Macaca mulatta: one gene and its partners. The protein of the gene in region 2 purifies or fractionates together with the protein of the main gene of each other region. This does not show direct contact. Links are inferred from orthologs where the notes say so. Each region holds a gene or a part of one and is shown on either strand. Other genes may lie near its edges.

What was found.
Region 1: the proteins of SNRPA1 (region 2) and SF3A3 purify together in Homo sapiens (affinity purification with mass spectrometry; 6 studies listed by BioGRID and IntAct, counting the BioPlex papers as one, with this or other methods). This does not show direct contact. The link is inferred for Macaca mulatta from reciprocal best matches to the Homo sapiens genes SNRPA1 and SF3A3.
Region 3: the proteins of SNRPA1 (region 2) and CDC40 purify together in Homo sapiens (affinity purification with mass spectrometry; 3 studies listed by BioGRID and IntAct, counting the BioPlex papers as one, with this or other methods). This does not show direct contact. The link is inferred for Macaca mulatta from reciprocal best matches to the Homo sapiens genes SNRPA1 and CDC40.
Region 4: the proteins of SNRPA1 (region 2) and U2AF2 fractionate together in Homo sapiens (co-fractionation; 3 studies listed by BioGRID, with this or other methods). This does not show direct contact. The link is inferred for Macaca mulatta from reciprocal best matches to the Homo sapiens genes SNRPA1 and U2AF2.
Region 5: the proteins of SNRPA1 (region 2) and SF3B3 purify together in Homo sapiens (affinity purification with mass spectrometry; 5 studies listed by BioGRID and IntAct, counting the BioPlex papers as one, with this or other methods). This does not show direct contact. The link is inferred for Macaca mulatta from reciprocal best matches to the Homo sapiens genes SNRPA1 and SF3B3.
Region 6: the proteins of SNRPA1 (region 2) and DDX46 purify together in Homo sapiens (affinity purification with mass spectrometry; 3 studies listed by BioGRID and IntAct, counting the BioPlex papers as one, with this or other methods). This does not show direct contact. The link is inferred for Macaca mulatta from reciprocal best matches to the Homo sapiens genes SNRPA1 and DDX46.
Region 7: the proteins of SNRPA1 (region 2) and SNRNP200 fractionate together in Homo sapiens (co-fractionation; 3 studies listed by BioGRID). This does not show direct contact. The link is inferred for Macaca mulatta from reciprocal best matches to the Homo sapiens genes SNRPA1 and SNRNP200.

Annotation. Positions count from the first base shown.
Region 1 is NC_133406.1:202,808,884-202,812,383, forward strand, and holds part of SF3A3 (splicing factor 3A subunit 3), read left to right. Parts: intron 1-2,861; coding exon 2,862-2,934; intron 2,935-3,382; coding exon 3,383-3,474; intron 3,475-3,500. UniProt on the Homo sapiens protein: Component of the 17S U2 SnRNP complex of the spliceosome, a large ribonucleoprotein complex that removes introns from transcribed pre-mRNAs.
Region 2 is NC_133412.1:91,654,048-91,658,320, forward strand, and holds the start of SNRPA1 (U2 small nuclear ribonucleoprotein A'), read right to left. Parts: upstream 2,801-4,273; 5' UTR 2,736-2,800; coding exon 2,654-2,735; intron 287-2,653; coding exon 139-286; intron 1-138. UniProt on the Homo sapiens protein: Involved in pre-mRNA splicing as component of the spliceosome. Associated with sn-RNP U2, where it contributes to the binding of stem loop IV of U2 snRNA.
Region 3 is NC_133409.1:15,228,564-15,232,694, reverse strand, and holds the start of CDC40 (pre-mRNA-processing factor 17), read right to left. Parts: upstream 2,801-4,131; 5' UTR 2,783-2,800; coding exon 2,594-2,782; intron 1-2,593. UniProt on the Homo sapiens protein: Required for pre-mRNA splicing as component of the activated spliceosome. Plays an important role in embryonic brain development; this function does not require proline isomerization.
Region 4 is NC_133424.1:68,003,124-68,007,241, reverse strand, and holds the start of U2AF2 (splicing factor U2AF 65 kDa subunit), read right to left. Parts: upstream 2,801-4,118; 5' UTR 1,825-2,800; coding exon 1,776-1,824; intron 1-1,775. UniProt on the Homo sapiens protein: Plays a role in pre-mRNA splicing and 3'-end processing. By recruiting PRPF19 and the PRP19C/Prp19 complex/NTC/Nineteen complex to the RNA polymerase II C-terminal domain (CTD), and thereby pre-mRNA, may couple transcription to splicing.
Region 5 is NC_133425.1:69,321,784-69,325,283, forward strand, and holds part of SF3B3 (splicing factor 3B subunit 3), read right to left. Parts: intron 2,737-3,500; exon of another isoform or gene 2,693-2,736; coding exon 2,366-2,692; intron 2,063-2,365; exon of another isoform or gene 1,984-2,062; intron 854-1,983; coding exon 681-853; intron 1-680. UniProt on the Homo sapiens protein: Component of the 17S U2 SnRNP complex of the spliceosome, a large ribonucleoprotein complex that removes introns from transcribed pre-mRNAs.
Region 6 is NC_133411.1:143,733,562-143,737,061, reverse strand, and holds part of DDX46 (probable ATP-dependent RNA helicase DDX46), read right to left. Parts: intron 2,921-3,500; coding exon 2,783-2,920; intron 2,445-2,782; coding exon 2,295-2,444; intron 1-2,294. UniProt on the Homo sapiens protein: Component of the 17S U2 SnRNP complex of the spliceosome, a large ribonucleoprotein complex that removes introns from transcribed pre-mRNAs.
Region 7 is NC_133418.1:5,024,829-5,028,328, reverse strand, and holds part of SNRNP200 (U5 small nuclear ribonucleoprotein 200 kDa helicase), read left to right. Parts: intron 1-430; coding exon 431-580; intron 581-828; coding exon 829-939; intron 940-1,525; coding exon 1,526-1,657; intron 1,658-1,824; coding exon 1,825-2,013; intron 2,014-2,340; coding exon 2,341-2,538; intron 2,539-2,964; coding exon 2,965-3,117; intron 3,118-3,225; coding exon 3,226-3,306; intron 3,307-3,500. UniProt on the Homo sapiens protein: Catalyzes the ATP-dependent unwinding of U4/U6 RNA duplices, an essential step in the assembly of a catalytically active spliceosome. Plays a role in pre-mRNA splicing as a core component of precatalytic, catalytic and postcatalytic spliceosomal complexes.

The DNA of each region.
Region 1 (3,500 bases), on a different chromosome or scaffold from region 2:
TGTGAGACTCCTCTGATGAGTTATCTTTGCTCCACGGCTCCCCATTGGGTGGGTCAAGATTTTGTCCAATCTGCATTGTGGTCTAGGCTATCCTGGCCTAATCCTGCTTTCTCCTCCTTTTTGTCTTTCACAGAAATTACTCCCCCCAGGCCGGGCGCGGTGGCTCAAGCCTGTAATCCCAGCACTTTGGGAGGCCGAGACGGGTGGATCACAAGGTCAGGAGATCGAGACCATCCTGGCTAACACGGTGAAACCCCGTCTCTACTAAAAAATACAAAAACTAGCCGGGCGAGGTGGCGGACGCCTGTAGTCCCAGCTACTCGGGAGGCTGAGGCAGGAGAATGGCGTGAACCCGGGAGGCGGAGCTTGCAGTGAGCTGAGATCCGGACACTGCACTCCAGTCTGGGCGACACAGGGAGACTCTGTCTCAACCAAAAAAAAAAAAAAAGATTTAAAAAAAAAGAAATTACTCCCCCCAATAAATTATGCTCCTAACTCTGTCTTTTTTTTTTTTTTTTGAGATGGAATCACTCTGTCACCCAGGCTGGAGTGCAGTGGCACGATTTCGGCTCTCTGCAAACTCTACCTCCCGAGTTCACGCCATTCTCCTGCCTCAGCCTCCTGAGTAGCTGGGACTACAGGTGCCCGCCACCACGCCCGGCTAATATTGTGTATTTTTTAGTAGACACAGGGTTTCACCATGTTAGCCAGGATAGTCTCGATCTGCTGACCTCATAATCCACCCACCTCGGCCTCCCAAAGTGCTGGGATTACAGGCGTGAGCCACCGCGCCTAGCCCTCATATACCCTGGAGCTCACTTATAATAAGGTAGTTAAGAGAAAAAGGGCCTGGGAAGGCTTTCATCAGAAAGGTCACATGACCACTCCAGGTGGTGTTGCCTTACAGAAGTTAAGCAAAAGAGAGTTTCAGAAAGGCAGTCATGGTGTCAACTTACTGATTGATAACTGCCAGGATTGCTGTTTCATTAAAGTAGTAGGAATGGAAATCTGGTCACAAGGTAAAGATGGGTAATGGGGAAATATAAGTATGGAGTATGGAACATGCATTTGAAAGGCTGGTAGCAGCCGGGTTCAGTGGCTCACACCTGTAATTCCAGCACTTTGGGAGGCTGAGGCAGGTGGATCACAAAGTCAAGAGTTTGAGACCAGCCTGGCCAACGTGGTGAAACCCGTCTCTACTAAAAACACAAAAATTAGCTGGGCTTGGTGGTGCACGCCTGTGATCCCAGCTTCTTGTGGGGCTGAGGCAGGAGAATCGCTTGAACCCAGGACATGGAGGTTGCAGTGAGCTGAGATCACTCTGCTGCACTCCAGCCTGGGCAACAGAGCAAGACTCCGTCAAAAAAAAAAAAAATCTGGTAGGAAAAAGAAGGGGAGAAACAGGAGGGTATTGGGGAAGATAAAGAAGCATACTTATGGCCAGGCGCGGTGGCTCAAGCCTGTAATCCCAGCACTTTGGGAGGCTGAGACGGGCGGATCATGAGGTCAGGAGATCGAGACCATCCTGCCTAACCCGGTGAAACCCCGTCTCTACTAAAAAATACAAAAAACTAGCCAGGCGAGGTGGCGGGTGCCTGTAGTCCCAGCTACTCGGGAGGCTGAGGCAGGAGAATGGCGTAAACCCGGGAGGCGGAGCTTGCAGTGAGCTGAGATCCGGCCACTGCACTCCAGCCTGGGGGACAGAGCGAGACTCCGTCTCAAAAAAAAAAAAAAAAAAAAAAAAAGAAGCAGCTTACTTATTTGAAGGAGCACAGGGAAAAAGGAAGAGATTAAAAACAGCAAAAAAATAGAGGCTGTTTATTGCAGTACATAGTGTGGGGGTAAACGAAGGGATCCTCACACACATAGCCCCCTTGGAGGATGGAGAGTGAGGTCTTCTGCTAACCAAGAGAGAATAAATGAATACCATTCTGATGTGTTCACCTTATTCCAGCCATGGTCAAAAGGTAACGAGGAATAAATGCTTAAATAACTGGTTAGAAGGATGCCCAAGATATACTAAGTGTCAGAAGCAAGTCTTTTATGCTAAAAAAAATAATAAAAACGTATGCAGGCATGAATGTACTAATACAAATACATATATTTAAATATATAGAGCACTGTTTTCCAAACTTTCTGCATATTTGAGCCACCTGGGGATCTTTAAAATGTACTGATACCTGCCTTCCTTTGATTTAATTGGTATCAGGTGCATCAGAATTAAAAAAAAAAAACTCCCCGGGTGATTCTAATATGCAGCAAAGTTTGGGAACCACTGGCATAGGAAAAGCTCTGTTAACAGTGGTTACCTGTTCTCAGGAGAATTAATAAAGGTGGACTTTTGAGGTTTTGTGAGCATGTGTTACTTTAGTGAGTTTTACTCAAACAATACAAAAAAGCGGGGAAAAACAAGGTAATTGGAGAACAGTAGTAGCTTCCTAGTGAAAAATCAAGGCCAAATCATCAGAAGTCCAACTTTCTGTGTATTTCATTTCTGTGATCTTGCAACTTTTACATTGAAAAATCCACCTAAGGTCGGGCACAGTGGTTCATGCCTGTAATCCCAGCCCTTTGGGAGGCCAAGCTGGGCAGATCACTTTAGCTTAGGAGTTGAAGACCAGCCTGGGCAACATGGCAAAACCCTGTCTCCACTAAAAATATAAGAATTAGCCAAGCATGGTGGTGCGTGCCTGTAGTCCCAGCTACTCGGGTGGCCAAAGCAGGAGAATCGCTTGAACCTGGGAAGTAGAGGTTGCAGTGAGCCAAGATTGTGCCAGTGCACTCCAGCCTGGGCAACAGAGCAGAGTCCGTCTCAAAAACAAAAAAGAAAAATCCACCTGAGCTTTTACTTTTCCCCTCAGATCTGTGTGCCAATGTCAGTGGAATTTGAGGAGCTCCTGAAGGCTCGAGAGAATCCGAGTGAAGAGGCACAAAGTAAGTAGAGGTGAAAATTTCATTCAGCACCAGCAAAAGTACAGGTTAATTACAGCTCAGATTTGCAGCCATGGCCTCAGATATATTTATAGCCAGGATTTCTTGCTGGTTTCGTCTTTGCTGGTTTCTGGGCTAGAGTGACATCCTAAATTGGTCTTGGGCGCACAATGTTCATTTTGTTCTCTCCTACCTCAAATTTACTGGCTTGGAAAGCCAAGGATTGTTCACTTTAGGTCACGATACTAAAATGAGTCAGCCCTTGTTACCTTGTAAGAGAACACTCACTTTTGATCTCACTTAACTTATTGGAGGTTATATTGTGAGCAAAGGGAGGACATTTGGGTGAAGTGCTGCCTCAGGAAACTAGGAACAAGCAGTCCATTTGAAAAGGTAAGTCCAAGAGAGTGGTGTGTATAAACTGAATCATTGATGTATCTGATTCCCTCAGACTTGGTGGAGTTCACAGATGAAGAGGGATATGGTCGTTATCTCGATCTCCATGACTGTTACCTGAAGTACATTAACCTGAAGGCATCTGAGGTAAGACCTGGGAACGGGCAGAGAGG
Region 2 (4,273 bases):
AAATATTTTTTAAAAATATAAAAATTAAATTAAAAAAACCATGTAGGTTTAACCGGTAGTACGTGCTACAGCTTCTTCAGGGAACACTGCAACATTTACCCTAGGGGGAAAAAATTACTTTCCCCTATAGGCACTTACCATATTCTGTTGTTGTTCACTAACAATGTTTTCAGTCTTCTCAACAAAGGAAAACCATCCAGTTTCCTGATCTCATTGTCAGAAAAATCAATAGCATCAAACTGGTCTAATGTAGCACCTAGATTTTCAATGACGGGAATTTTATACCCTGTAAAATGGAGGAAAAAAAAACACACAAGAGGTATTAATATAACTAAACAGCCCCTTAAAACATTAGCAGTATTTCATAGTATCTGATTCCAGGCTTTGATTTATTCAGGAAGCATTACCTAGCACCTATGCCATGTCATACATGCCTTGCCACTGTACAAGATACTAGAGAGAAAATGCTGAACGAGTCTCAAGTACCCAGTGCCATGAAGCTTACAATCTAATGACAACAAGGACAAGAACAATAATAATGGGTGATATAGGTAGCTAACATTTATAAGAACATTTACAAGGTGCCTCACACTGTTCTAAGTCATTTGGGCTAGTTAAGCGGAATCCGCACAACAGGAATTTACACTTTGAGCTGCTTAGTCTCAGTGCCCAAACAGCGTTCAAACATTGTGGATAACAGTTCTCCACTCTTGCATCTCCACGGGCCAGATTCTTAGAACCCATCAGAACAGCCTCAAGATATGACAGTTCTCCCTCCCCTCCCCCAGCTACAATTTAGAGTTGAAGAACTCAATGGTTTACATAGAGTAATAAACCTGTGAACACTCAAATGTTAATTTGTCCAATTTGAGCATAATTACTGTGTTAGGCACTATAAGAAAAGAAATATTCTGAAGAAGCAAGGTCTACTAAAAAAGAATTCACCCAAAGTTAAAGGGCACAATTCAGAGCTATACTACACGTATTGCATCAAAATATGTATTCTCAATATTGCACGTACTCCATAAAGAGAAATGGCAGAGATCATCAAAAGTGGTGAGTTGGGCCGGGCGCAATGGCTCAAGCCTGTAATCCCAGCACTTTGGGAGACCGCGGAGGACGGATCACCTGAGGTCGGGAGTTCGAGACCACCCTGACCAACATGGAGAAACCCTGTCTTTACTAAAAATACAAAATTAGCCGGGCGTGATGGCGCAGGCCTGTAATCCCAGCTACTCGGGAGGTTGAGGCAGGAGAATCGCTTGAACCCGGGAGGCAGAGGTTGCAGTGAGCTGACATCGCGCCATTGCACTCTAGCCTGGGCAACAACAGCGAAACTCCGTCTCAAAAAAAAAAAAAAAAAAAAAAAAAAGTGGTGAGTTGCTCTTGAACTGAACCTTTCTCTAACAAACTTAATTTCAACAAAATAAAAATACTGGGGGCCGAGCGCAGTGGTTCACGTCTTAATCCCAGCACTCTGGGAGGCCGGCGGAGGCGGATCACCTGAGGTCAGGAATTCGAGACTAGCCTGACTAACATGGCGAAACCCCGTCTCTACTAAAAATACAAAAATCAGCCAGGCGTGGTGGCTCACGCCTGTAATCCCAACAACTCGGGAGGCTTGAGGCACAGGAATCACTTGAACCGGGGAGGTGGAGGTTGCAGTGAGGCGAGACCACACCACTGCACGCCAGCTGGGGTGAAAGAGCGAGACTCCATCACAACACAACACAACACAACACAACACAACACAACACAACGGGATTTCCCAAAGGTCAGCAAGAAATCTAAGCAGAACACAACACACAACACAACACAACGGGATTTCCCAAAGGTCAGCAAGAAATCTAAGCAGATCCCGCAGCGATGCTGCTCCAAAGCCATAGGTCCCCGTGGGAACAAATCTCAGGCTACGGCTGCATGGTCTTATCCCCAGAGAAGTTGCTCTTCACATCCTTTTTAAAGTCGTCTCCTGAAATGCCAACTAGCTAGCTGCCCTCCCAATATCTTACCAAGTCTTGCTAAGGTTGAAATAGTACAGGAATCTGAATAATTGCGAGCGCTTCCACAACTTACACACAGCACAGGGCTGTGCAAACCTGGGTCACACAGTTCAATTTTTAAAACGTCTTCATAAAGGGGAAACGCCAGACAAAGGTACTAAGTAGAAAATACTGGGGGAAACAATCGCTGTTGTTCGGGGACTTGGTTTCCTCCCTCACATTAGGAACAACGAACACATATCCCATCTACGCTCAAAATATCGTCTGGCGGCAAGTATTAAGAACCAATCACTCGCCCTGCACTAGCGTTACAACCATTAACGAGCCGCTCTTCCGGGCCCTCAAACAGAGCCAACTGCGAAACAGCCAAGCAAGGCCTAATAGAGCCCCACGAGTATGCACCAGGAAGTAATGAAGTCACTCGTGCCTGTCAAGAGGCACGGCGGTAAGAGAAGGCTCCAAGAGCCTAACGGGATGCTCATTTGGCAACAACGGCAAGAATCAGGCCCCGCGTTCCCTGCGCAGCCCGGTCGGAGCCCAGACAACCGGCCCGCGGGCCAAGCTCCGGCCTTCGGTGCACGCGGCAGAGCGCGGATAATAAGGCGACGCGGTGCCGCCCGGGGGCTGGCCGCCCACGCCCTCGGACTCACCTCGGAGGTCCAGCTCCCGGTCGCGCACCGCGTTGGTGTACTGCGCCGCCTGCTCGATCAGCTCCGCCGTCAGCTTGACCATCCTGCTGCCTCCCGTCTCCTCGCGCCGTGGAAAGCCCGTGGCCTCCCGCCAGCGAGACGTCCCAGCGTGCCCCGCGCCCCACCGCCAGGCAGCACCAATCGCAGCCCCCGAGTGCGCGCGCAGCTCGCCCGCCAGGCCGAAGCAATGGAAGAGCCACGCCTTCGGGGTCGTTCTTGCCGGAAGTCTTGCCGGGCGCGCAGGGGCTGTGTCTGGTTCTGGGTTCTTTCCTGGGGTGTGTTTGGAGTCTGGAGAACCTATGATTCCAGACGTTGGTGTTTAAAAGTTAAGGCGAATGTGGAAACATCCGAGGGGAACTTTTTCATGCATTAGCGCACCTTGAGGTGGGACGGGAAGCTGTGACTGCTCTCCCTCCACCAGCCGGCGCGGGGACCCGTGGGGTTCAGTGAAGGGTCCAGGAGTTCAGGTACCCGTCCTGGGCCTGGGCCTGGGCCTTGGCTCCGGGTTACAGTGTGAGATCCCGGGCTAGGTGGCCCGCCTGGGGCAGGTCGCCGGGACAACCCCACAGCTCCGCAAGTCCAACCTGGCCTAGGGCATGGTAGGGTTTGCGGTTAAGCTTGTGGCCTTTAGACTTCTGAATATTCATATGAAGTATGATATACAGAAAAGTGTGCATATGATGAATTTACAGCGTGATTAATGACCAGAGTGAACACAACTGCTTAGCCGACACCGAGATCCAAAAAACCACTATTCTGAAAGCCTTCCTCTTTCCCAAAGGCAACCGCGAACTCAACACTACAGATTCGTTTTGCTTGCTTTTGATATAAATAGAATCATGCAGTATGCTTTTTTTGGCCTAGTTTCTTTGAGTCTATATTATGTCTGGAGTCCATCCAGGTTGCCTACAGAGATGGTTTGTTTGCTTTCGCTGCTGAAGAGAGTTCCATTGTATATATTATACCATAAATTACTTATTCTGCTGTTGATGGACATCAAAGTTGTTTTCTGTTTAGGGCTATTCTGAGTAATGCTGCTATGAATTTTCTGGTACGTGGATCTGATGCACATTTGCATGAGTTTTTCCTGGAGTGGAATTGCTGGGACATAGGGTATTATATCTATCATCAATAAGTAATGCCCAACAGTTATACTAAGAGGCTGAAATAATATACACACTCCAGCGGTGTGTAAGGGTTTTCATGGCTTCCAGCTTCAGGCTTGTTTGCATTTTAAGTCTATAACTTTAGCTATTCTGATGGGTGTGTGGTGGTATTGCACTACTGCTTTGCTTTTCTCTAATAACTAATGAAGCTGAGAACTTTCTCATGTGTATGGTGCCCATTCTGATAGCTTCCTTTGTGAAGTGTTCTTTCGAGTCCTTGGCTCATTTTTTTCCTTATGGAGTTGTCTGCCTTTTTTCTTATTGATTCTTGGAATTTCTTTATATATTAGGCATATGAACACACGCTGTGGCTTGCCTTTTCACTCTTAATGGTGTTGTTTGATTAGAATTTTTTTTTTTTTTTTTTAAGACAGGGTCTCGCTTTGTCACCTAGGCCAGAGTGCAGTGGTGCCAT
Region 3 (4,131 bases), on a different chromosome or scaffold from region 2:
TCTCACAGTCCAGGGCAAAGAAAAAGATGAACAAGTCACGGCAATGTGCTAAGTGCTATAGTTAAGATATGATAAAGGGGCTAAGGTAGAATAGGAGGAAACGCGCAGTGAGACTGAAGGACCATAGTGTTTGGAATGGGGGAAGGAGGCACTAGGCAAGGGATTTCCAGGCAGAAAGACTAGCGTGGGCAAAATCTTCAGAGGAAGAAAGAAAATTTGGCTTTCAGGGCTTTGTAAAGAGTTCAGCATGGGAGAATAGCAGCCCTCACATGCTACCAAAAAAACTTAGAAATTACCCACTGGACAATACGGTGTCTTTGGGCAGGGAAGTGATAGGACGCAAGTGGAATTTACAAAGATCATTCTAGGTGCCCTGTGGAGAAAAGAATGGGGTATAACACTGGGAGACAAGAAAGGAAGAAGTAGAAATATCAGTTAGAAAGCTACAACTGTCTGAAGAGAAATGATGAGAATCTGAACTAAGCAGTGGCAGCAGAAGAGAGAGATTTGATGAATATCATTGAGTTAAAGTAGACAGGACCCACTATCCAAAAGAAGAGGCTGAAAGAGAAAGAAAAGAATAACTCCTGGGAGAAATAAGGAAGATATGAAGCCTGCACCAGTGAAAATAGTGAGGAAGGAGTTGATATGAGATAAATTAATGAAACAGAAATGTTAGAATCAATTGAATGACTAGCTTCAGGGGCTGAGGAAGAAGGAAGAGAAAAGGATACCTCCTTTGTTCTTGGCTTGAACTAGTGGGTGGATCGTGGGATCATAGATCAAAATGGGGAAAACAGAAATGGATTTTGAGGGAAAGAAAATAATTTTTCAACACACTGAACTGGAGGTGGCTGAGTGCCAACCTGCAAGAAACAAATGTACAATTACAGTGGGAGATTTTTATATACCTCTCAAGGTTGTAAGCTAGCAAGGAGGATAGAACTGGAAATAAAAGGATAGCAAACATGTGGCACTGTTAAAAGGGCTTTACATCTTTTATGGCAATTCTTATAATTCTGTTAGATCGGTACTACTGTTATTCCTACTTTACAGATCAGTAAAAATTAGGTGCTGAGCATTTAAGCAGCTTATCCAAGGTCCCCAGGTGGGTAAGTGCTGGAGGCAGGATTTGAATTACAGTCTTAATTCCAGAGCCTGTGCTAACCATTTCACGGTGTTCACCTTGAGCTAGGGGCAGCACAGACTGAGGTTGAAGGTATGGAAGAATATGTGGAATGCAAAGAGGACCAAGAGCAGAGTCCTAGGAAACACCAGTATTGAAAAGAGTAAAATAATTGGAACAGAATGCTGAGTAGAGCCCCATGGAAGCGAAACGGAGAGAAAGTTTCAAGAAAGAGGAACTAATGAACAGTGTCATTTGATGCAGACATTTAAGTCAGATGGCTGAACCTGACAACTGCAAGGCCTGGGACATCACTCACAGACAGTTTCCCAAGAGGGTAGGGCCAGACTGCATCGGGTTGAGGAGAAAATGAGATGAAGACAAAAAGAGAGCTCCAAAAAGCTGAGCTGTGAAAGGAGAAGACTCAGGAGGTTACTGGAGGGGCGTAAGTTTGGAAAGTTTTGTTTTGATAGGAAGTTAGGATTCTAAGCATTCTTTCATGCCAGATGCCCATTTTTAAAAAGTAAAATTCACAGACAGCTTGTTAAAAATCTGTAAAACACTCCTTAAGTCATTAAACTAGACTTGGGGACATGATACAAAGGAATTTTTGGACACCGCCTCCCATCTTCACATCTTGAGCTGATCACCTACCTCGGGCTCTACTGGGCCTACACTATCAATTGGTAGATGCTCTCATCAGGCTCTAGACACATCAGCTTTTCCTCAGTTCTTCAAACACACTAAGCTCTTTGCCTTCTCAGGCTTGCCTGTCACCTTTGCCTGGAAACTCTTGCCTGAATCAGCTTCCTCCATTGAGATCATGCAGCTGTTTCTCAAATCCAAGGCCTTTTTCTCACTGTATTAACATACATAATCATAAAACATTTACTGCACTCTCACTAGTTACCAGGCTCTGTGCTATATGCTTTATTTGTGTAATTTCACTCAATTTTCACACTCATCTTCTCATGTAGACAGGTGTTTTGAAAATGATCTCCGCTTGTACAGGTGAGGAAAGAGAGGAGGCTGCATAACTTGCCCAAGTTCACATAAGTGGTGGTGCCAGGATTAGAACCTAGTTTTTCAAAAATAAAACAAATCGAGGCCACTGCTCACTTCAAGTGAAGGTACAATACTCTAGTTTGGGAAGTCCTGATCTAATTTTATTTATGTTCCGAGATTACATCTGCACTTTACAGGCTATGTCCCTAATTCACAAATTCAAATTTCACCCCCTCTTTCCACTTGCTTTCTGATGGCGGGAGGTAAGGGCAGAGAGCATCGGGGGGCTATTCCGAACTTCCAATTCTGCTTCTCCCGAGGATGCATGTGGGAAGGAGAAGAAATTCAAACGTTAGCAACTTATCTCTGAGCAATGAGGTAAGCCGGGACCTAACAAGCGGCTGGCAGTTTTGGAGCTGAAGCCAACAATTCCCACACCGCATCAGTAGCAAAGGTGCTTACCTTAACTGCCACCTCCGGAGCCGAGTCCACTGCCACTGCTAGAGACGGCTTGGCTGAAGGCGATTTAGTCAAGTGCATGAGGGAGTCGGCGGCTGGCAGCGGACATCGACTGCTCTCACTGTCCGAGTCCGATTCGGACCCTGAACCCGAACCGTAGGAAGCGGCCAGAGCTGCAATCGCAGCCGACATGACGGCAACAAATCTTCTGCGGGGACCCTGTCAGGGCGGAAGAAGAGGAGGCTCCCAGGTCCTGACAGATTGCCATGGAACACATCATTAACTTTCTTTGCTAAGAAATAATTTCTTACATTTTAAAACAACAAGCTAATTATTATTAGAATAACTACTGTCGAAATGAGAGCTTAAAAAAGTTTATCTAGGGAAAAAGAGAGAATTATAATAGCTTATAACTTTCAGGACCTAGTTGACTAAAGAATACGAGTTCCAAAATACCTTGAGGCCTCGCGGTCCTGCACTCCCAGCGTGCAGCGCGGCAGGAAGCACCAGAGGGCACAATGGGAAGTGTAGTTTGGAACGAGGGGGCGGGACGGGGGCGGGTCCCTCCTTGACCCCGCCCCCGAATGGATGTTCCATTCAATTGGCTGTCATCTTCCCTCATTCCCTAGCCAAGCACTGTTCTCTCCGTCCCCCTCCCCCAAACTGAGGATTGGGCAATACCACAGAACCTCAGGAAAGGGGGGAAGAGCGAGCTTCGGCCCCACCGATGGAGGAGTGGGCCGAGGCTGGGTTTCCCACCTCGACTGCACCTGGGCACTCGAGGGTGAAGAGGAAAGTGAGAATCTGAAGTTTTGAGACCTCTGACTGGCCGGGAATAGCTCCTGGGGCACGGGGCAAGGATGGGACCATAGCCGGAGAGAGTCCCGCGGTCCCCCCTGCTTCTGGCGCGGGTCCCTGCGTCCGGTTGTGGAGCGTCTCGCGCGGGGAGGGGGCGGGGGGAGCGGCAGCTCGCGGTGTTGTTCACTCGCGCGTCGAGCACACGGTGGGTCCGGCGGCCGGTGGGCGCCCCAGGCGGCGTTCCCAGTGGCCTGGCGCCTCGGCCGCTGTCCTGAGCGGGTTCCGCCCCAGAGCCCGACCCTCCTGGGAGCCCTAGGTGGAGTCCCGCGAGCCGAGGGGGACCGGCGACCGCTGCCGAAGCATGAAGAAGGGGTAAGCGAGAGCCCCCAAGATTTCACGGTGAGCGCGAGTCCCTGAGGAATTGCTTTTTTCGGGGAGGGGGTGCTGGGAGAGGAACTCTTCCTCACCGGCCGGAGCAGACCGAGGGGTGTGTGGCCCGCATAGGTGACGGGGATGGATGGGCGCGCCTCCCCCGCCCCGGCCCCCACCCCCATCCGCGGGTTTCCCGAGCGCCCACCGCCCACCCGCCAGCCGGGCTGGGTGCAGAGGGAGACGGCGGCGGGCGCGCCCGGGGTTCGGCTGCAGGGACCGCCCCGGGGCTGCTTTCGCCGGAGAGACTGCGGGTCTCACCTGAGGTGCCACCGCCCGGGCTTCCCTGCCCACCCGCGCCCACGGTCCGCCCC
Region 4 (4,118 bases), on a different chromosome or scaffold from region 2:
AATGACATTTGGAAAGCACCTTTTCCTGCCCTTTCCCAACTGTGACACAATCTCTGTGAGTGGAAGACCCTCCTCTTTAAGCATGGAATTTTACAATTGCAAATATCGCTTACTGCACACCTAGTGTACACCAAGCCACATGCCACATGCCACACACTTTACGTTACCCCATTTAATCTCAGCTCTGCCTCTGACTAGCTGAGCCCTGAGAAAGTTTTTAATTTTTCTGAGCCCTCAGTTTCCTCCCCAGTAGAGGTGGAAATCATTTTGACCTCACAGGGCTGTTACAAGGATCCCCTAAATAAAATCACGCTAAGAGTTTAGCGAAGAGCCTGGCACACATAAGCGCTCAGAGTTTAACTACACCTATCGTTACTATAATCCTTACTAATCTTCTCAAAACCGAGTGAGAAGAAAATAATAATCAGTCTACAAATAGGAAAAAAAAAAGAAAGATAAACGTATTAAAAGTAGTTACTAACCAACAAAGCAAGTATCTAAATCCCTGATGTGCTCAACTCCAAAGCCTATGCTCTTGAACAGTCCATCACCTAAGACAGAGTCAGACCCTCAGTAAACGTTATTTCTTCCCCAGGGCACTGTTTCCTAATACAGCCCCTGGGTTCAAAGGAAAATTCCTTAGCCCTCATTTCGTCCTCCGAACGACCTAGGATCATGGGCAGCTGAAGCCTCAAAAGAAATGAAACAAGTCCCCAACCTTCCCTAGTCCTGTGTTTCTTCACTCTCAAACTGAAACATGGAACAACTCTCCCACTTCTAATATTCTCGGAATCCCTAAGATCAGCAGGGCCCCACGCTTTTTGTTCTCACCCATCACATTCTCGATACCCTGAAAGGAACCTGCCTCCCACCTTCCCCGTTAAGTGAAGAGTTTAGCGCAGTGGGCCAGATCCCTCTTCCTCCCTCAGAACCTGTTTCCTTATCTCTACATCGAGATCTGAGGCTGAGTATTATCAGGTGCCCCGAGTTTGGGATCGTACATGATTTGAGGTTTGTCTCAAACACTCCATATCGCGATTCTCGGGACCGCCAAAAGTTCCGCATATGCAGGATGCGTGCGTGCCGACACTCAAAGAATGCAGATGCTTCAGGGAACATGCGCCCAACACGTTAATATGAGGCGCCCCACTACCAACAGACGGGGCAGAAACCACCTGGCAGAAGAGGTCGCAGCAAATCAGCAAAAAGGAAAAGGGGTATGAGACGGGCTCGTGGCCTCCAAGAGTCCCCCGAAACAGCTCTGTCCTCATCCACGTGAAGGAGGGAAAGGGGGGCCCCCCCGACTCCTCACAACCGCCATTTTGGAAACAAAGGGGGCGTGGAGACGCGGCCGTGGGCCCGACCGGAAGCGGAAGTGCCAAGGCAGCGGGAGAAAAAGAACGGATTACGGGGCCTAACATAATCTCCTTTTCAGAGAATACAAAAAGATTTTAAAAAACAAAAGTTCACGTCGAGGTACCTGGCGCACTCGCGCCGCGTCCCCCGAGCCACCTCCGGCAGGACCACGTGGGGCACGGGGACAGCCGCCGTGCGCATGCGTCATGGGCCCGCGCCCTGCCGCCCCCTTCCCCTCGCCTAGCGCGCGGCCGAACGCTGGGGATGTCACGTGAACGAGGCGCGCGCCACGGAACCGGGGTTGGGGGGGGTCGCACGGCCGTGAGAGGTGGGGGGAAGCGAGGGAGAAAATGGCGGGGGGGCAAAGAGCGACGCGAGGAGCCGCCCACACCTCCGCCCCGCGACCCCGGCGCCCTCACCTTGTTTATTCTCGTTGAGCTGCCGCTCGAACTCGTCGAAGTCCGACATGCTGAGGCGGCCGCGTAGGGCCCTGTGCAGCTCTCGCCTCGCCTTGCCGCCCGCTCCGGCCGCTTCGGCTACTTCCGCCGCTGGCTTCGGCTACTTCCGGCCGCCGCCGGCGCTTCGCCACCTCCTACCTAATCAAGCCTCCGGCAGCCCTCCCCACCCGCCCGGGCTCCGCCCCCTCACCCGCCCGCCCGCCCGCGAGCTTGCCCCTCCCCCCGAGCCTGGCTCCGAAGCGCGTCGGCTATTTCCGGACACTGGACGAAGGAGACGCAGATGGCAGCTGCGACTGCTTCCGAAAACACCCGAAGGTAGGGTTTCGCCGACTTCCCAGGTTTCCGTAACTTTTCCAAAATTATCTCCTCAACGTTCGGAGGTTTCCGTGTGTCCTCGTGTTCCACTGCGCCCAGCCCCCTCTGCGAGTTCGGGTTCTTCCGACAATTCAATCCGTCCCAGTCTTTGGCTGCTTCCACGGATTTCCTCCGATCTTCTCCGCCGGCCCTGTCCAAGCAATCGGCCACTTCCGACAATCCTAACCGTCCCGGCCTTCGGCTCTTTCCGGAGATTTCCGGAGCTCGCCCTCGGGCCCCTCCTGGGATTAAGCTCGAGTCCAAGTTTCGGCTCTTTCCGGAGATGCCACTTGCTCACTCCGCAGATCAGAGAACTTCGGCTCCTTCCGCCACCGCTTCGTGAAGGCCTCACTCTCCGGGGACAGCTTCGGCTTTTTTCGTGGGTGCTTCGGCTCCTTCCGGCTTCGGGAACGGAAAAGGGAGGGAGGACGGAGGCGAGGTGGGTCAGGGGAAGGGATACAGAGAAGGAGACGAGGTACCGGTTCTCAGCACCTGGCTCTCCGGGTGGGGAAAGTGAAAGAAAAAAAGGACCGGCCTCGCGGAGGGCCTGAGAAGGTTGCGCGAGACAAAAGCAGCAAGAGGGGTGAACGGTGCGCGCGACCGCTGCGGAGGTTGCCAGCGCGGCTTTTTGCGCCTGCGCAGGGTGGAAGCGGCGGGTGAGGGGGAAACAGGCTTCTGCGCCTGCGTAAGTGTCTCTGTGGCGCGCTCTCCCACTGCTCCGGTGAAGGGGGTTGCGGGGACCAGGTTTCAGTCCCCGTTGCGCGTGCGCGAGATTTTCCCTTCCTGGAGTGAAAGTGCTTAATCCCCAACGGTTAAATCCGGCCACCCTCTTGGTTGTCTTGGCAACCGCATCAACGCGCTCCGGCCCCTCCCGTCGCGCAGGCGCAACAGATGGATGATCGCGCAGTCCTTCCGGGAGACAGATGATCTGGCGTTACTGCCCCCTGGCGGCCGGACGGAAGAATCCCCCAGACTTGGCCTGGCCGCTGGGTGGCCTCCCCTGCTCGAGGTCATCGAGTCCCGCCTCTCGCGCCACTCACTGGTCCGGGTAGCCCAGCGGGTAGCGTTTACGCTTTTTACTTTTTTTTTTTTTTTTTTTTGCGACGGAGACTCTATCGCCCAGGCTAGAGTGCAGTGGCCAGATCTCGGCTCACTGGAACCTCCGCCTGCTGGGTTCAAGCGATTTTCCTGCCTCAGCCTCCCGAGTAGCTGGGACACCTGGCTAATTTTTTGTATTTTTAGTAGAGATAGGGTTTCACTGTGTTAGCCAGGACGGTCTCGATCTCCTGAACTCGTGATCCGCCTGCCTCGGCCTCCCAAAGCGCTGGGATTACAGGCGTGAGCCACCGCACCCGGCTGTGTCCGCGCTTCTTTTCCAGAGCTCTGCCTCCAAGATTTCAGGGGCACAGCTGTTTCTCCGTCTCTGCCTCCGGGGGGCTAATTACACCCTGTCCTACCCGGCCTCCCGCCTGACCGCCCACCCCCTTGGAAGCCCCAGCAACCCCATCACCGTCGTCGGGGCGACGGCCTCCCCCTCCCAGGCACGTCCCCCTCCTAGGAAAAGGCTGAGGCCCAGTTTATTCCAAATTTTCACGTCGTTTTTTAATTTAAATTCTCTGAATAATTCTCTGTCTCGCGCGGAGTTGGGGAGGTCTGTCCGGGAATCAGGTGGGCAGCTCCTCCGCGGGGCTGGGGCGGAGACGGGGTCTATACAGTCCCCCACCCGAGAGGGGGGCGGCACCCTCCTGCCTGGTTGATTTCCAGGAGGAAGGGGTCCGGCGAGGACAGGGCTGGGCAGCCCAAGCGGAAGGGGATGCCGGCGTTCGGGAAGGGGCTGCGGCCGGCCCTGGGCCGTCGCGCTTGGGGGCCGGGCTAAGGGAGCCCCCAACCCAGGGAGTGAGGAGGAGGGGCAGGGGCGCGGCAGGGAGAGGCTCAGGTCATCCACCGGGG
Region 5 (3,500 bases), on a different chromosome or scaffold from region 2:
TAGAATGAGAACTGCAATCTCCAAATTCTGGATCCAGGGATCTCTCTACTAGAGAACACTGCCTTCCATTCAAGGCAAAGAATAGTATGCTCTGTGAAAAAATACCTTAAACACAGCTTCACCTTTTTCATGAAGCTTTTCCCAATAAATATCTCGTTTCCATAGAGAGATTACTTAAATCAGAGAAAGACTATTAAATAGTTGGTTAACCTCTGAAGCATCCCAAATAATTTCAGTAAGGCATTTGGAATATGGAGAAGATGTGCTAGCAGGACAGAATTAAGACATGAACAAGGGGCTGGGCAAGGTGGCTCAGGCCTATAATCCCAGCAGTCTGGGAGGGTGAGGTGGGCCAATCATCTGGGGTCAGGAGACCAGCTTGGCCAACATGGTGAAACCCCATCTCTACTAAAAACACAAAAATTAGCTGGGCGCAGTGGCAGTGCCTGTAGTCCCAGCTACTCAGGAGGCTGAGGCAGGAGAGTTACTTGAACCCAGGAGGCAGAGGTTGCAGTGAGCTGAGACTGCCACTGCACTCCAGCCTGGGCAACAGAGCAAGACTCTGTCTCAAAAAACAAACAAACAAAACAAAAAAAACACATATGCACAAGGAAGAAAACAATCTTTAAAAAAACAACGAGGTGACTGAAAGAAATGCAAAGAGACAGGGTCCCCATTACCTCATAATCCATTTCCAGACAAGCAAACATTGGATTTTCAAATCCAACATCTACTCCAACTACATGATACACTAAAGTATTTGCTTTGTGGGCTTCCAGGGGAGATGAAATGGTAAGTCGGGCTGCAGCATCTCTGTTCAAAATATACACCAATTTCTGTTTCTCAATGGCACCTGTAGTTGAAGGAGATAAAACATACAAGATTCCCAGATGAGAAGAGACACTTACAGAACTAGAGTCACATCATGCTTTTCTTTTAATCATTATTAACAGCAGTAACTCTACAAGCATAACAACTCAGGATTCTGTTCTCTATCATCAGAATAGCACTTTGGGAGACTGAGGCGGGTGGATCACCTGAGGTCACGAGTTCAAGACCAGCCTGACTAACATGGTAAAACCTCATCTCTGCTAAATACAAAAAATTAGCTAGGTGTGGTGGCACATGCCTCTAATCCTAGCTACCTGGGAGGCTGGGGCAGGAGAATCGCTTGAATCCGAGAGGAAGAGGTTGCAGTGAGCTGAGATCGCACCACTGCACTCCAGCCTGGGCAACAAGAGTGAAACTCTGTCTCATTAAAAAAAAAAAAAAAAAAAAAAAGAATAGCAATAATGGAGCTGAGCACAGTGGCTCAAGCCTGTAACTCCAGCACTTTGGGAGGCCAAGGCAGAAGGATTGCTTGAGCTCAGGAATTCAAGACCAGCCTGGGCAGCATAGTGAGTTCTCCATCTCTCTTTTTTTTTTTAGATGCAGTCTCACTCTGTTGTCCAGGCTGGAGCGCAGTACCGCTATCTCAGCTCACTACAACCTTTGCCTCCCAGGTTCAAGCGATTCTCCTGCCTTAGCCTTCCAAGTAGCTGGGATTACAGGCACACGCCACCACACTCAGGTAACTTTCGTATTTTTAGTAGAGGCAGGGTTTCACCATTATGGCCAGGCTGGTATCGAACTCCTGACCTCAGGTGATTCTCCCACCTCGGCTTCCCAAAGTGCTGAAATTACAGACATGAGTCACTGCACCTGGGTGAGACCCCCATCTCTTTTAAAAATAAATAGCCACTGTGCCCGGCTGAGACACCCATCTCTTAAAAATAAATAATTTTTTTTTTAAAGACAATGGCATCGTGGTGGCCCCCTCTTTCCTAATACGGATCTTAAATATCCCACGAACTCGTCAAAATTTTTTAATGAGTCCTAGATTTAAGGATACTGAAAAACAGTAATTCATAAAATTATCATTAGTTTTATTCTCTGAATTAGATCTAACAATTTTATGACTACTCAGAGAGGACTGCCCTCTAGAGGCCTGATCAGATACACAAAATTGTCTTCAAAAATTTATCAGAGAAGAGACATGAATGTGAATCATCACTTCAGGCTGAAGAACGCAACTAAATTCGTTGTCTAATAACATAAGATCATTTCATTTTAGTCTTTTTGCCAAAGACAAAGAAACTGAAAAACACTCATTTCCAACTAGATGGGAAGTAGAAAAGTACGTTAAGATTTTTCCCATTGTTTTAAAAGAAAATACAACTCTTTTAAAAAGAAATGCAACTTTAAACCTAGAGTAAATCCAAACATGATGCCAAACCCATGTAAGTGATTAACTGGAACTGGCACACCACCAAGATCACAGCATTGTTATCCTAAACTAAGCACACACAGCAAGTAAATCACTTACTAATCATAACGGCTCGCCCTTTGGGATCCACAGCTAAGAACTGGCCAGGAACGATGCGACGGCATCCACTCTTGCCAAAGGTTTCTTGGTGAATCTTCTCAAACATATTCTTAGATGGCTGGTATTCTAAGATAACAATTCGACCGGAGTCACTGCCAACTACAATGTAGTCTTTGGTGCCACCTGTCAGCCTAAAGGCCATGAGTGACCGGATAACACCGAATACTTCCACAGTGAGTAGGGTATGTACTTTGCCAGTGTTGGGGTCTGGGCGAAGCAGCTCCAAGATCTTCCCACGGGAAACAACAATTTCTTGTTGTTTGGTTCCTAGATCACCAAAAAATAGAGATCATAAACAACCAGAACCCAGCCTGCCCACCATGGTGAAATCCTGTTTCTACTAAAAATACAAAAATTAGCCAGGTGTGGTGGTGCATGTCTGTAATCCCAGCTACTCGGGAGGCTAAGGCAGGAGAATCGCTTGAACCCAGGCGGTGGAGGTTGCAGTGAGCCAAGATTGCGGCGTTGCACTCCGGCCTGAGCAACAAAGCAAAACTCCATCTCAAAAAAAAATTAGTCAGGAGTGATGGCATGTGCCTCTAGTCCCAGCTACTTGGGAAGCTTCGGTGGGTGGACAGTTTGAACCCAGGAGTTCAGAGACTGTAGTGGGCTATAATCCTTACACTCCATCCTGGGAAACACAGCAAGACCTCTTCCCTTTAAAAAAAAAAAAGGCCGGGCGCGGTGGCTCAAGCCTGTAATCCCAGCACTTTGGGAGGCCGAGACGGGCGGATCACGAGGTCAGGAGATTGACACCATCCTGGCTAACACGGTGAAACCCATCTCTAGTAAAAAATAGAAAAAACTAGCCGGGCGAGGTGGCGGGCGCCTGTAGTCCCAGCCACTGGGGAGGCTGAGGCAGGAGAATGGCAGGAACCCGGGAGGCGGAGCTTGCAGTGAGCCGAGATCACGCCACTGCACTCCAGCCTGGGCGACAAAGCGAGACTCCGTCTCGAAAAAAAAAAGGACAGGCACAGTGGCTCATACCTGTAATCCCAGCCCCAGCACTTTGAAAGGCTGAGGCAGGCAGATCACTTGAGGTCAGGAGTTTGAAACCAGCCCAGCCAACATGGTG
Region 6 (3,500 bases), on a different chromosome or scaffold from region 2:
GTAATAAAAGTTATATGAATGTGGTCTCAAAACACTGTAATAGTTTCAGACTGTGGTTAACCTACAGCAACTAAAATCACAGATAAAACTACCATAATGTCAAAAAGTGACAGGTGTTTTTAAAACATGGCTACAAATTATTTAATAGTCTTTTTTCCTGAGTGTGGGCTGGACTTAATGACTTCCTTCTAATACAATAAAGTAGGCTGGGCATGGTGGCTCATGTTTGTAATACCACCACTTTGGGAGGCTGAGGCAGGAGGATCACTTGAGCCCAGGAATTTGAGACCAGCCTAGGCAATATAATGAGACCTCAACTCTAAAATACATTTTAAAATATATATTAACAGGGCATGGTGGTGCACCTATAGTACCAGCTATTCAGGAGGTTGAGGTGGGAAGATTGCTAGAGCCCAGGAGTCAGAGGCTGCAGTGAGCTGAGTTCGCACCACTTACACTCCAGCCTGGGCAACAGAGTCAGACTCTGTCTCCAAAACAAAACAAACAAGAGAAAAACAAACTCCACAAAGAATAAAGTGGAAGTGACTGTATAATTTCAGAGACTAGTCATAAAAAGCACTAAAAAGCTTTCTCTTTGCTCTCTCTCTTGGATCACTCACTGTGGGGAAAGCCATCTGCCACGTGCGTAAGGACAGGCAAAGTGGTGAAAAACTGTGAGGCATCCTATCAACATCAAAGTGAATGAGCCATCTTGGAAACAGATCATCCAGCAACAGTCAAGCCTGCAGATGACTGCAATCCCATGAGCGCCTAAGCCAGAACTACCTGACTAAACTGCTCCTGATTTCCTGGCCCGCAGGAACTATGTGATAATAAATGTTTATTGCTTTAACCTGTTAAGTTTTGATTTGTTACATGGTCACAGATAAATTAAAAAAATGAAATTTGGCCAGGTGAATCCGAAGACTTTGGAAGGCCAAGGCGGGCGGATCACGAAGTCAAAAGATCAAGATTATCCTGGCCAACATCATGACATCCCATCTTTAGTAAAAATACAAAAAAAAATAAGCCAGGCATGGGGCGCATGCCTGTCATCCCAGTTACTCGGGAGTCTGAGGCAGGAAAATTGCTTGAACTCGGGAGGTGGAGGTTGCAGTGAGCCGAGATTGAGCCACTGCACTCCAGCCTGGTGACAGAGTGAGACTCTGTCTTAAAAAAAAAAAAAAAAAAAAAAAAGACTTTATTAGCCAGGCACAGTGGCTCACACCTATAATCCCAGCACTATGGGAGGCCAAGGTGGGTGGACCACCTGAGGTCAGGGGTTTGAGACCAGCCTGGACAACACAGTGAAACCCCATCTCCACTAAAAATACAAAAATCAGCCCAGTGTGGTGGCGGGTGCCTGTAATCCCAGCTACCCAGGAGACTGAAACAGGAGAATCACTTGAACCCAGGAGGCAGAAGTTGCAATGAACTGAGACTGTGCCACTGCAGTCCAGCCTGGGTGACAGAGCAAGACACACCGGGCTAATTTTTTGAACTAGTATGGTATCCTAGAAAGAAATGGCTTAAGGTTAATAGGACACCTGGGTTCTGGTCCTGACTGTAACTCCCACTGTGGTCCTGGACCTAACATCTTGTCTTGGAGTCCATTTCCTAATGACAAGATCAGATTGAATTCCTGATTTCCAACATTGTTTTCTGAACTTAAATTTATTTAACATGATATGTCCAAAAGTGTTCTGTGATCAGATATGTTGGGGAACTTCTGGGTTTAACAAAGTTAAACAAGATTCCTTAAAGACTTTTCACATCCATGGCTGGGTGAGGTGGCACACACCTGTAATCCCAGCACTTTGGGAGGCCGAGGAGGGTGGACCGCTTGAGGTCAGGAGTCTGAGACCACCCTGGCCAAGAAGGTGAAACCCTGTCTCTACTAAAACTACAAAAATTAGCCGGGCGTGATGGCGGACGCCTGTAATCCCAGCTACTCAGGAGGCTGAAGCAGGAGAACTGCTTGAACCTGGGAGGCAGAGGTTACAATGAGTGGAGATCACACCACTGTACTCCAGCCTGGGCAACAGAGCGAAACTCCATCTCAAAAAAAAAAAAAAAAAAAGACTTTCACATCCTTTGAAGTGCTAATGAGTGGTCTATATATTGAGAGGAGGGGTATTGGTATGCACTAGGCAGATTTTTCCAAAACTATTCTGGAACCATCCTCTTGTAAAGAAGATTTCCAATGATTGTCTATCTTGATAAGCATATGGCAAGACCTCCAGTACAAAAGAAATAACTGCTTCAGTTAAGAATGAGAGAACAACAGTACTTACGTCAACTGCAGCATCCTCATCATCTGAATCTTGCAGACCAAGAGCTGCTTTTTGTAACTTCTTCCTCTCATTAGCCAAAGCTTGTTCTGTTTCATCAAACTTGAATCCCTTACCAGAGAACCCACTACTCTTTTTAATTATTTTCCCCTCCTTTCAAAGAAAGAAAACAAAGTTAATCTCATAGTAATAACTTTAATGTTTAGGAATTCATACTAATTAAATATTTTTCAAGGTGGTGTATGTCAATGTAATAAAAACAGTTCATCCAGCATGTAAGATAAACTAAGAGCTCTACATAGACACCACAAAATACTAAGTTCAAGAAAAAGATAGGATTTTAGCTTTCATTTTTCCCTCTCTGAAGAGAAATAAAAACAGTACTATCAAAATTTCCAAGTATTAAGTAAAAAAGATTTCCAAGAATTAAATAATCAAGGTTTAGTCACATTAATGATTTCTAAAAGAGTGACATGGGTTAAAAAACTCACAGCTTTCTGTTGATCTTTGAAATCACTCCACAGTTTCTCTAAATCAGGAGGTACTGCGGTCCCTGACAATTCAAGAGCTTTAATTATGTCACCAGCATAGCGAGCTTGATCTTCTGTGATAAAAGTATAAGCATAACCCTAATGAATGATGAAAAAGTGCAATTATTAGACACTAACAAGATGTATCCTACTTACATCACAAGATAAAATCTGATCCACTTAATAAAACCTCGAGATTGACAACATTACTGCAGAATTTTAAAAGTCACAAAAGAGTCTTACTAAATTACTCAATGGTTCAAAGTGAAATATCCAAGTTTAATTTTTATTTATTTATTTTTTATTTTTTGAGATGGAGTCTCGCTCTGTTGCCCAGGCTGGAGTGCAGTGGTGCAGTTTCAGCTCACTGCAACCTCTGCCTCCCGGGTTCAAGCTATTCTCCTGCCTCAGCCTTCCGAGTAGCTGGGATTATAGGCGCCTGCCACTATGCCCAGATAATTTTTTGTACTTTTATTAGAGACGGGGTATCACCATGTCGGCCAGGCTGGTCTCAGGTGATCCACCCGCCTCGGCCTCCCAAAGTGCTGGAATTACAGGCACAAGCCATCATGCCCAGCCCAAGTTTAATATTTTAAAATAACACAAGCAAACTAGAAAATTTCTAATTTCTTTATACAGAGGTAGAAATATATGCAATTGGCTGGACACAGTGGCTCAC
Region 7 (3,500 bases), on a different chromosome or scaffold from region 2:
GACTTCATTTCCTACAACACTGTACTAGTCTCAGACTTATTTCCTAAATCCTTTTTTGAGTAGTAGAATGTTTTAGCTGTTATTTTGCAGACACATTTTCATGCATCTTTGACTCTTGTTAGGTGCTTGAACATAAATTCTGAGTTGAGAGGCCTGAATTTGTAGTCATAGTCTATTTAAACTTGCTGTGCAAGGTAGGATGTTGAAGTTAGTTAATTTCTCAGTTCCAGAACTGTGAACTTGGTGGGTGCATTCCCTTGAAGTCTTTCCAGCCCTGTTGAGGCTTCCTCTGAGCCTGCCCACATTCCTGCCCTTTCCCCTCTCCAGGACCTTGGCTTCTGGTGGTGATGGTGCAACTTCTGCTTCCTGCCACAGGTGCCCTGGGGCTGTTAGTGTCTCGTGACTGTGGCAAACTGTGGCTTCTCCTTAGGTGCTGGTGTTTGTCCACTCCCGGAAGGAGACTGGAAAGACGGCCAGGGCCATCCGGGACATGTGCCTAGAGAAGGACACTCTGGGTCTGTTTCTGAGGGAGGGCTCAGCCTCCACGGAAGTCCTGCGAACAGAAGCGGAGCAGTGCAAGGTGAGGAGGGGCCGGCTGGGTTCCCTCATGCCTATCTGGCAGCCGTGTCCATCTGAGGCCTCAGACAGCTCCTCTAGGACTAGACTATGGTACTGTTGTTTCCCATGGGTTAAGGTTGATTGTCTGGATGTGATTATTACTATTCCACATAGTAGTTAAGGGGCAGGGTCTCATGGGAAGAGATTTCCTTAGTCCTTGGGTGAGTCCTACAGGAAGGCTCACCTCATCCCTGGTCGTTTGTTCCACAGAACCTAGAGCTGAAGGATCTTCTGCCTTATGGCTTTGCTATTCATCATGCAGGCATGACCAGGGTTGACCGAACACTCGTGGAGGATCTTTTTGCTGATAAACATATTCAGGTGAGGGAGTGCAAAGCTTTTGGAGGAGCAGGTGGGACGTACTTCAGAAGACTGGCAGTGTCAAGGTTGTGCCATGTTTGCTCCTGGTACTTTATTGCTTCTGGCCCAGCTAGCCCAGGTCGGAGGGTTGTGGTGGATACAATAAATAGAACCTTATGCCACTCTCCCAACTCTTCACACCTTGTGTGAGGGAAGATGAGTGAGTTTCGGACGGTCTGAGAAGCATAGTGAAGCAAGCACTTTGGTGACTTCAGATAGCTCCAAACAGTGCTTCATGGGGGCGTACGTGGCCTTGTCATTCCCTCTTTCCGGATAGCCTCTGCTTGACCTTTTCTAGTAACTTTAAGGTGGTTTAATACAGGTCTGCACTTGTGCCTCCGGAACCTTGAAATGTTCGTTCCTGAATAGATGAGGAACCCAAAGAAACCTTTCCTCTTTATTCTAGTGTCACATTGACAAGTACTGGGACCCCCCACACCCCACTGGCTAGTCTGATAGAAGCTCTGAGGCCAACTGCCTAGAGAAGCCGGGGATATTAACCCCTGATGGTGGCATCTCTTCTCATTGCCTTGCTTTGCCTCTGTAGGTTTTAGTTTCCACAGCAACTCTAGCTTGGGGTGTGAATCTCCCTGCACATACGGTCATCATCAAAGGCACCCAGGTGTACAGTCCAGAGAAGGGACGTTGGACAGAACTGGGAGCACTGGACATTCTGCAGGTACAGAGCCTTTGAGTTTATCCTCAGTGGGGATCGATATCCTCGCCTGAAATGCAGAGATGCTGTAAAGCTGGCAGATCAGAGGCCTAGTTCTGTAATGTAGATCCCTGCATCAAAATCACACATTCTCTTGCTATAGCATTCTTGGTTCGCTGTCCCTGATCTAGATGCTGGGACGTGCTGGAAGACCCCAGTATGACACCAAGGGCGAAGGCATCCTCATCACGTCTCATGGGGAGCTGCAGTACTACCTGTCCCTCCTCAACCAACAGCTTCCTATTGAGAGCCAGATGGTTTCAAAGCTTCCTGACATGCTCAACGCAGAAATCGTGCTGGGGAATGTCCAGAATGCCAAGGTATGGGAGGACTCTGCCTGTTGTGCTTCATGCCTTCCCCACAGACACCAAGGCACCAGGTGTGGGTCGGTCCCTATTGTGCCGCGGGACAGCGGCGTCCGAGGCTTTCCGTCCCTGCACCCACATCTTGGGTCTGGCAGATAGTTCCCCTTGTTACCAAGATCTTAGAAGATGCTTAGATGTTTTTACTAATGAAATGCTGAACACATTGAGAATATGATGTAATATGCATCGTTGTAGCTGGGAATTTCTAAGCAATTCATGGTAGCCTTTCATTTGGACATCAAGAGTTTCTTCATACTAAGAACCATGAGCTGTGTCTTGTAGGACGCAGTGAACTGGCTGGGCTATGCCTACCTGTATATCCGAATGCTGCGGTCCCCAGCCCTCTATGGCATCTCTCATGATGACCTCAAGGGAGATCCCCTGCTGGACCAGCGCCGACTAGATCTGGTTCACACGGCTGCCCTGATGCTGGACAAGAACAATCTGGTCAAGTACGACAAGAAGACGGGCAACTTCCAGGTGCGTGGGGTGAGGGTTTTGAGGCAAAGGTCTCAGCAAAAGTTACTGGCCCAGGAGAAGATTTTCCAGATTGCTCTCGACGTGAGCACTGCCTGTCTAATCACCCGTTGCTTAGAACAGCAGAAAAGTGGTTGCTTTTCCTGTAACTCGAAGTGGATAATTTAGCTGTCTTGTCTGTGCAGGCATCATTTCACTATGGGTCAGCTTATTGTGCCATTTTTCTTCATGTGCCTGGGCCTGGCCTGGCACTTGCACTGCTGTGACTTCATCCAGTTGTCCTATTAGGACAATAACTTATAGGACATTGAGTCATATACTTTACCAAAAATCGCACAAAAAAACCTATAAGACAATAACTTAGGGTCCACAGTTAGAGGTGGGAGCTCATTAGTAGTCAGCACTGGATTGAGCCAACCTTCTCTCCAGGTGACAGAACTGGGCCGTATAGCCAGCCACTACTACATCACCAATGACACTGTGCAGACTTACAACCAGCTGCTGAAGCCCACCCTGAGTGAGATTGAGCTCTTCCGAGTCTTCTCGTTATCCTCTGAGTTCAAGAACATCACAGTGAGAGAGGTGAGCTATGCAGTGTGCTGGGGCGGGGAGTTGGTGCTCAGCAAGTTGCTGAATGGTTTCCCTCCTCGGCCACAAGGCTTTCCCTTGACCTTTTCCTGCTTGTGGCAGGAGGAGAAGCTGGAGCTGCAGAAGTTGCTGGAGAGGGTGCCCATCCCTGTAAAAGAGAGCATCGAGGAACCCAGCGCCAAGGTGAGCGCCGCTCCTCTTTGCTTTGGTCAGGATGAGGATTAAGTGGTTTTCATAATCTTCTAAAAGATGAACCTTGAATTTGGGTTCATGTGTGGTATCCTGCTCAGTTCTCCTAGTTTTTGCAGCCTTCTCGCATGTTCTTTTTATATGAAATAACAATTATTTAGTATTTGTAAATCAAGACCTGTAGAAGA